Nothobranchius furzeri: one gene and its partner. The protein of the gene in region 1 interacts with the protein of each later gene in a pairwise test. Links are inferred from orthologs where the notes say so. Each region holds a gene or a part of one and is shown in the gene's direction. Other genes may lie near its edges. The genes, in order: tarbp2 and znf346.

The links.
Region 2: the proteins of tarbp2 (region 1) and znf346 interact in binary tests that used the Homo sapiens proteins (3 or more experiments, as listed by UniProt). The two-hybrid records come from large-scale screens. The link is inferred for Nothobranchius furzeri from reciprocal best matches to the Homo sapiens genes TARBP2 and ZNF346.

Annotation. Positions count from the first base shown.
Region 1 is NC_091743.1:62,020,401-62,024,317, forward strand, and holds tarbp2 (RISC-loading complex subunit tarbp2), read left to right. Parts: upstream 1-824; 5' UTR 825-967; coding exon 968-1,020; intron 1,021-1,803; coding exon 1,804-2,118; intron 2,119-2,279; coding exon 2,280-2,349; intron 2,350-2,459; coding exon 2,460-2,577; intron 2,578-2,693; coding exon 2,694-2,821; intron 2,822-2,984; coding exon 2,985-3,180; intron 3,181-3,274; coding exon 3,275-3,432; 3' UTR 3,433-3,650; downstream 3,651-3,917. UniProt on the Homo sapiens protein: Required for formation of the RNA induced silencing complex (RISC). Component of the RISC loading complex (RLC), also known as the micro-RNA (miRNA) loading complex (miRLC), which is composed of DICER1, AGO2 and TARBP2.
Region 2 is NC_091750.1:54,172,752-54,176,654, reverse strand, and holds the start of znf346 (zinc finger protein 346), read left to right. Parts: upstream 1-1,016; 5' UTR 1,017-1,540; coding exon 1,541-1,634; intron 1,635-2,606; coding exon 2,607-2,710; intron 2,711-2,917; coding exon 2,918-3,016; intron 3,017-3,903.

The DNA of each region.
Region 1 (3,917 bases):
ATGACCAATGAGGAGAGGGTCTAAACTTGAGGCCCTCTCTTCATTGGTCAGTCTGAATGAGACTGACTCTCAACTGGCGTTCAAAGTCATAGGCAGCGAAGCATCTCTGTGCAGCGCAAAAGCCCGGGTGGACAGTTTGTTTAATGTAGGGTGATCATATTTCCATTTCCAAACAAGAGGACAGGGGATCTGTGCCTATGACGTCACACTATGGCAACGCCACACAAACCACGTTGGGACCCATTTTTTTGTAAGAACTAAATTAATATCAGATTCTGCCAATAAAACGGCTCTAAAACAATTCATATGTAAATATTTAGCATATTTCTTGCAAAATCTCATTTTTCTGCTTTAGTGCTGCAACAAGGTTTTATTAATAAGAAATCATTATACCTTTTGTATAACCTAACCTAAACATGCACTCAAATATTTCATACAAAATATCTGACCTCTTATCAGCTGACATTTCTTTAATTGATAACAATGCTGACATGGAGTCTGAGCAAATAATACTTTTCCTAACACCATTTTGTTCTATCCACTGTAAACTAAATGAAATGGCTAACATTTCCACTGTATAAACTGACAGATTATTAGATGTTCGACTTTTATAATATATACTTAATGTCGGAATCCAGAAAGAAAATCCCGTTATATTTCCTGACACTTTCGACCCATCAGTATATTTAGGGATGAATGCTTGATGAGTGTCATTCCCACCTTCTGAGGCACAGAAGGCATTTGGGCCAATCGGGGCTTACGCTGCCCAGGACGCAATCTACGTCATAATCGTGTGACCGAGGTTGTCGCTGTAGAGGTGGTTTCGTCTTCTGGTATCCATCATGTTGCAGCTTTAGCTCATCGTTTTGGGACAACAATAAATACCGTCTAATGAGAGTACGTGTCTGTTGTGGCGGGGGGGATTTTACATCCGAAACCGAGCGGTTCTGTCTGCGCGAAACGGGGAATGAACGACGAGACAGCTTCGGATAGCTGGAAGAGAAACTCCGGGGACTCCAGGTGGGATTGTCTTCTTGATAAAAGCCATTTGTATGTAAACAATATAAAATGTCAGAGTCAAAGGCCTCAGAAACTAACGCGTGCATGTTGTTTTAAGTGTTTAATCTTCTGTTATTCTTTTAATCTCTACAGCTTAACTGTTTGACTCATCGTTAATACTCTTTATCTGGTGGCTTTTTACTGCTAGGTTGATTTTTGAGGGATTATTGTAATCTGGAAGGCAACAGGTGGTCAAAAACACTAATATAATGTTTTCCTAAATGTAAAGATCGGCATAAATTACACAAATCTCTTTATTCCATTTGTAATATATGTAATAAAATAAGCTGATTGCAAACATTTCTGGTTCAAATCTTCATTCCAGATGGCTGTAGCTGCCGCCTCACAAATAAATCATTGAATAAAAGTGCCTTCTTTTACTCTGATAATGTAAATAATAGAGTTTTATTGGTTTGTGCCCATTTCCTTTGTACACTGTGAAGAATCTCACCTCAAAACACCACACTTATTATTTGGGTCAGTATTCATTTGGCAAATAATAGTATTTTTTTTCTTGGAAACATATTTCACAGATTGAGCCTTAAAGATGGCACACTTTTCCTATTTCTTGTTGCATTTCGTGAAACTAAAATATAGACAAGTGTAGTTTTTCCACTGAACATTGTAGCGTATGCCCTTTAGATTTTAGCAGCAATAAACTAGCCACATTGTTGTGTTTTGATCTCAGTAAAGATGATAACAAAATAAGTGAACAGCTGCTTATGCTTTCTATCTTTTAAATAGTATTGAGCAAATGCTGGCTGTGAATCCTGGAAAGACGCCCATCAGTCTGCTGCAGGAGTATGGAACGCGGATAGGCAAAACCCCAGTGTACGACCTGCTGAAGGCGGAGGGACAGGCCCACCAGCCCAACTTCACATTCCGCGTCTCCGTCGGAGAGATCAGCTGCACCGGCCAAGGGCCCAGCAAGAAGGCAGCTAAGCACAAAGCAGCTGAGGCTGCTCTGAAGATGCTCAAAGGAAGCCTCGGAGATCCAGCTGGAGTCGCTGTCGGAGAAGACGTGTTTATCGAGGTTGATGTGTCTATTGACGGAGACTGGTCAGGACCCTACTTCATTTTAAAATGTAGAAAAGAACCTAGCGATGCTTAAGTGATGCTTAATGGCTTGTCTTGATTGGATCCAGACGATGTTTCAACATTGAGTTGATGGAAGAGAGAGATTTGTGTGGATTTAGTCTGTCCTCTCATGTTTTATGCAGCTCTCAGTCAGAGATGAAGACTTCCAGCAGTTCTCAACAGTCGGAATGTAACCCCGTTGGGGCGCTGCAGGTAACTACGCCATAGAGACTTTATTTTATCCTGGTAATCCACAACACTGGTTTCTGTTAGAATATTTCTATAGTTTCCTTCCTTTTTTTTTCTGTTTTGATTTACTTCAGGAGTTGGTGGTGCAGAAAGGATGGCGTTTGCCAGAGTACACGGTCACTCAGGAGTCGGGTCCAGCACATCGAAAAGAGTTTACCATGACCTGCAGAGTGGAGAGATTTGTAGAAATTGGTAAATCTTCTCTCATTCTTGTTTGATATCTGCATGTTGTGCTTTCACGCTCAATTGGATTTGTCAAAATCTGCTTTTATGCCAAGTGAAGGAGTGATTTCCTTTTTCCTGTCCAGGAAGTGGCACATCTAAGAAGTTAGCCAAGAGGAATGCAGCCGCTAAGATGCTCTCACGGATCCACGACGTTCCAGTGGACCTGAGGAGCAGCAACGAGGCAGATGCAGAAGAAGATACCTTCAATTTGGTGAGAGCTAAACACCACAGCAGTGATTTATATGCTTGCGCTTAAATTTCTTGTGCAATTCTCAAAATATCACAAACTGTGCCCATGTTATGGTGATGAAGCTTCTCTGCTTGGCTCTACTGTGTCTGTGTAAAACGTGTATAAAATCATCCCATTTACGCAGCACATGGGCAGCAGAGCGGAGTCGGGTAAAAGCAAAAGTTTCAGCTGCACCTGGGATTCTCTGCGTAACTCTGCTGGAGAGAAGATCCTGCAGCTCCGCAGCCACCCTCTGGGAATGCCAGCTGGCTCCAACTTCTGCTCGTTGCTGAGCGACCTGTCCGTGGAGCAGCGCTTTGATGTCAGTTACCTCGACCTCGGTGAGCTCACGCTCAACAGCACAACAGGAGCACCGTAAAGCGGTTAGAAACTCCTCGTTTTTTTTCTTCACATCCATGCTTGTTTGTTTTTCAGAGGAGCGCAGCCTCAGCGGCCGCTGTCAGTGTCTGGTGGAGCTGTCCACACAACCCATCACTGTGTGTCATGGCTTTGCTCCGAACGTAGAAGCTGCTCGAGCCCACGCGGCTCACAATGCACTGCAGTACCTTAAAATCATGGCAGGAGGAAAATGAGACACCTGGGCGCGTTTTTTGTCCGCAGACCCGAACTCGCCACCACGCGATGCCAATGTACACCTCCTTGTTGTACAGTAGAGGCTTTTTGACCTCAGATTGGTTAAGAGACATTTTTATCCTGCCTTGAAGCTAAACACAAGTTTATCTCTAGTTCATTTGTTGTCCAGCTGGTGAAAATCTCACAGCCTAAAACTCAAACCCACTCCCTTGATATTTTGTGTACTTGTGACAGATTGTTTTAGGAAAAAAAATTGTTTTTAGCCCATTTATCCTTCATATAATTAGCTGTTTTCTTACATATGAAGTTTAAAATATATACATGACGTCATAAATGATGCACTTTTGAGTCATATGTCACAAATGATGTTAGTTGAAATTAATAATTTTAAGTATGTTTTAAAATAATCAGCTTGTCTGATTTGAGTTCAAATTAATGGAGAAATTTGACTTTGTCGTTTTTTTCCTCAAATCTTTGTGTTTTA
Region 2 (3,903 bases), on another chromosome or scaffold:
AGAAGCCTCTTACCTCCTAATGAGCTTGGTCTTTTAATGGGCAAGCTTGGGCTTGGTGTCCCTCTTTGCCACAATAAAAACAGAGGTCATCCTTTGACCTCCTCACGTTCCTTCTCTGACAGCCTGCTCCAGCCAATCTGCATTGGCTCAGATCCCTCTGGGATTGGTGGGGAGATTGGGGCAGCAGGAAATGAAGATGTTAATGGTCTGTACCCACCGTCTCTGCGGGGTAGTGAAAATGTCTTTAACCATTCACTCCTCCTTTCATGGAGCCGTAACTCCTAGTTCTTCCAGGCTTTCGGGGACATCCCTAGAGGAGAGTTCATCCTTAATCTCCTCGCTCAGACCTTGATAAAAGACGTCACACAAAGCATCATCATTCCAGTTACTGTCAGCAGCACATGTATGAAAATCAATGATGTACTCTGCCACTCGTCTCCGGCCTTTGTTTTAATTTCAAAAGACCCCTTGCTGCCTCACACCCAGGAAGGACAGGACCAAAAACCCAAGCCGTCTGAATCCTGGCTATTTTTATAAAACACCACCTGTTCGTATGAGTAACAGATGTCAGAGTCCCTTTGCAATTCTGGAGTGCCCCATAATTTAGCTTTGCCGGAGGGGAGTGAAATGACCACGTAGGGTCGCGGGGGGCACGACATGGACAAAAATCATAAATCCTTCTTGGTTCTGAGTTTGATCTTGTACTGTAAAATGCAGCATTACTTTGTTTAGAATCAGTTTCAGTTGCACTTTCTGCTTGTTTGAGCAAATAAATTAAGCTTTAAGAAGATTTATTACTAGAATGTATTTATTATCATTGTCATTAAATTGAAGTTGGACAGATGACTTGATTATGACTTGAAAATTCTAAGTTAAGGACTTGGACTTGACTTGGACTTCCACAACATTGACTTTGGACTCAACTTGGACTTGGTTGTTTTTGACTTGACTCGAGACTTGACTGATTGACTGATTGATCGATTGATTGATTGAAACATTTATTTGGGGCAGCAGTAGCTCAGGTGGTAGAGCGGGTTGCCTCATGATCGGAGGGTCATGGGTTTGATTCCAGCTCCCGCCAGGGGTATCCTGCTGTTGTGTCCTTGGGCAAGACACTTCACTCAACTTGCCTGTGTTGGTGGTGGTCAGAGGGGCCGACGGCACCAAATGGCAGCTTCGCCTCTGTCAGACCGCCCCAGGGCAGCTGTGGCTACAAGTAGCTTACTATCACTAGCAGTGTGTGAATGTGAGTGTGTGAAAGCGTCTTGAAAAGCGCTATATAAGTTCAATGCATTATTATTATCATTATTTGAACATAAAACAAAATATTTTTTAAATCAATGAACAGAGACAGATGACTTGATTATGACTTGAAATTTCTGGAAATGACTGGAAAGACTTGTGACTTACTCGTGACTTGCAAAGCAGTGACTTGGTCACACCTCTGATTTTAGTTTTGTGCATCCTTTCTGGAAACCGGGAATCGGAAACAAGAGTTTCGAATCCAAAACACTTCCATCTGGGAGCTGATCAGCTGCGCATGCGCACTCGAACACCACTAGTGTGCGTTGAAATCATGGCGGATGCGATGCAAACCGATGATTTTCCATACTTACCTACAGGGCTGGCTGAGGGTAGGACTTCTGCCTTACTCATTTCATATAAATGTTAACATAGAATCACGTCAGTGCATCAAAGCAGCAGTCTTGGAGTTTGTGGCGTTAAAAGCCAGCGTTGTTGTTAGCTTCGCCTGAGCTAAATTTAGCCGGTTTGCTAAAATGTGCTAAGCTAACCTAGCGATAGCCGCTTTTGCTCCAAGGTCGAGGAGAGCAGTTCTTCATCCGATGTTTTTACTGACTCCTTCTGATTCCTGCTCTCTTGCTTTGTGACTTAATAGAGTCTGGAAGAAGCACAATTAGATTGTGGTCAGTTTATAGCTTGTGTTCTGTCGTTGGACGGCGGTGTTTTTCTGTTATTTTGGTGTGCGTAAAATCAGCTTCTCAGACGAGACAGACATGTCACGCTTGATCTTCTCTGAGGATGGATTGCAACTAAACTTTGCATGAAGTACATCAAACATTTGAATCTTAAACTATTCTTATTAACACCTCTAGCAGCGTTCGAGACTTACATTTTGTGCACATCTGCATCTCAACCTGTAGAAGCAGGGGCTCTTTATTTTATTAGAGATCATTCTGCAGGACAAAAGTCTCACGCTCTTACAAACCCTTAGCCAAGCCGTCTGAATCCTGGCTATTTTTATAAAACACCACCTGTTTTCTGTGTCACACCTTGGACTTGATGCATCAAGGTGAAGAAATATTCTCGCATTAAATGATCCAAGAGTTGTGACTCACAGATGGGCCTAAAAATGTGCTTCTGTGTTTTGGCAAGTGTTTGCATTGCAAATGTCTGCAAAAGCATCCAGGAGGCTTTTGGTCCTGCTGATGAAACTGGTTCTCCAGGGTGATTTTAATTAAAGTGGTTTTAAGACCATACATTTGTAAGATGCAGTGTTTTCTTAGATAGCTCTTAAACCATTTGTTATAAGGATATTTCCCCCCAGAAGATGCAATCTGTTGTTTTCTCCTTTTCTCTTTCTGCAGTAAATAAGATGATAAAAGAGCATGGTGACCTGTTTTCTGACTCCAAGTGCAATGTCTGCAATGCTGCCCTAATTTCTGAATCTCAGAAGTTGACTCATTATCAGGTCAGTTCGCTGAATTCCCTGATGCAGTCCTACTCTCAAGGGGCCGCGCTCACGTTCGAGGGTGCCGTAAAGACGTGCATCAGTCTAGTTTATGGGTCGTGAAGACATTTTTGACAAGACAAATTAAAATTTATCCAGATTATGAGATTATTTGTCCATTTTTGTGGATGTTTGTTCTTATCAAAGATTTTCTTTTCCCACTTTCAGAGCAAGAAACATGCCAACAAGGTGCGGCGTTACATTTCCCTTCAGAATGAGAAAGAGGACAGTGGCAGTCCAACTAAGAAGCAAAAGACATCTGACAATGTGAGTTAAATTGAAACATTCAATAGACGTTAAGGGTGGGCATTTTCATAGAAGAAGAAGAAATTATCTTTTATATCTCAAGATAAAAATCACGAGGCGCTTCACAAGAAGAAAAAAAATAAAATAAAAAATTATTGAAAGTATCATAAAATGGGATAGGTGATAATGTAGTAATATTTTTTTTTACTCAGGACTGTATATTGCTAAATTGAAGTACTGTGGTTTCACATCATGATTCATTCGGTGGCAGAAATACATGTTTCATCTGTTTCCGTTTTAGTAAATTAGTTATTTTATGGTTTATCAAAGAGAAAATTTACATTTCTTTTAGATTTGAAGCACCCATCCTGCCAGAATTTAGAGTAAATGAATGAGAGGAAAAAAATTAAAATAAGTATTTAAAGACCTTGCTCTCTTTTTTTTCTTTTGGAGGTAGGGCTGGGCAATAAATCAAAAATTTATCGTTATTGAAATTTCTGACTCGTTGTCACTCTTTGCACTCATGAAACATCTTGTCAAGTTACTTTTTTTCCCCAGAACTTTATTGAACAAAGGAAAGTTAGTTGTTATTGTGTAAAGAAGATGCTTTTTACTGGCGCACAATGTACTAATCTAGGTGCTGTGAAGGAAAACAGAAACCAGCAAAAACACAAAGGCAGAAACGATCCAAAGTTGGGGATCAAAAGTGTAACTACGGGCAGATTTGCTAATGCTATCAGGTAGCAGGCTCACGATCAAGTGGGTTCCAAAAAAACACAATGGTCTTGAAACTAAGAATATCTAAACTCTACAAGCGAAAGAAACGTCCCCATTATCCTGTTTATGAGCTGTCTGCAGCGCTACGGAGTCAGCTCAGTCTGCTCTGCTCAGCACCGCTGCAGGATTAT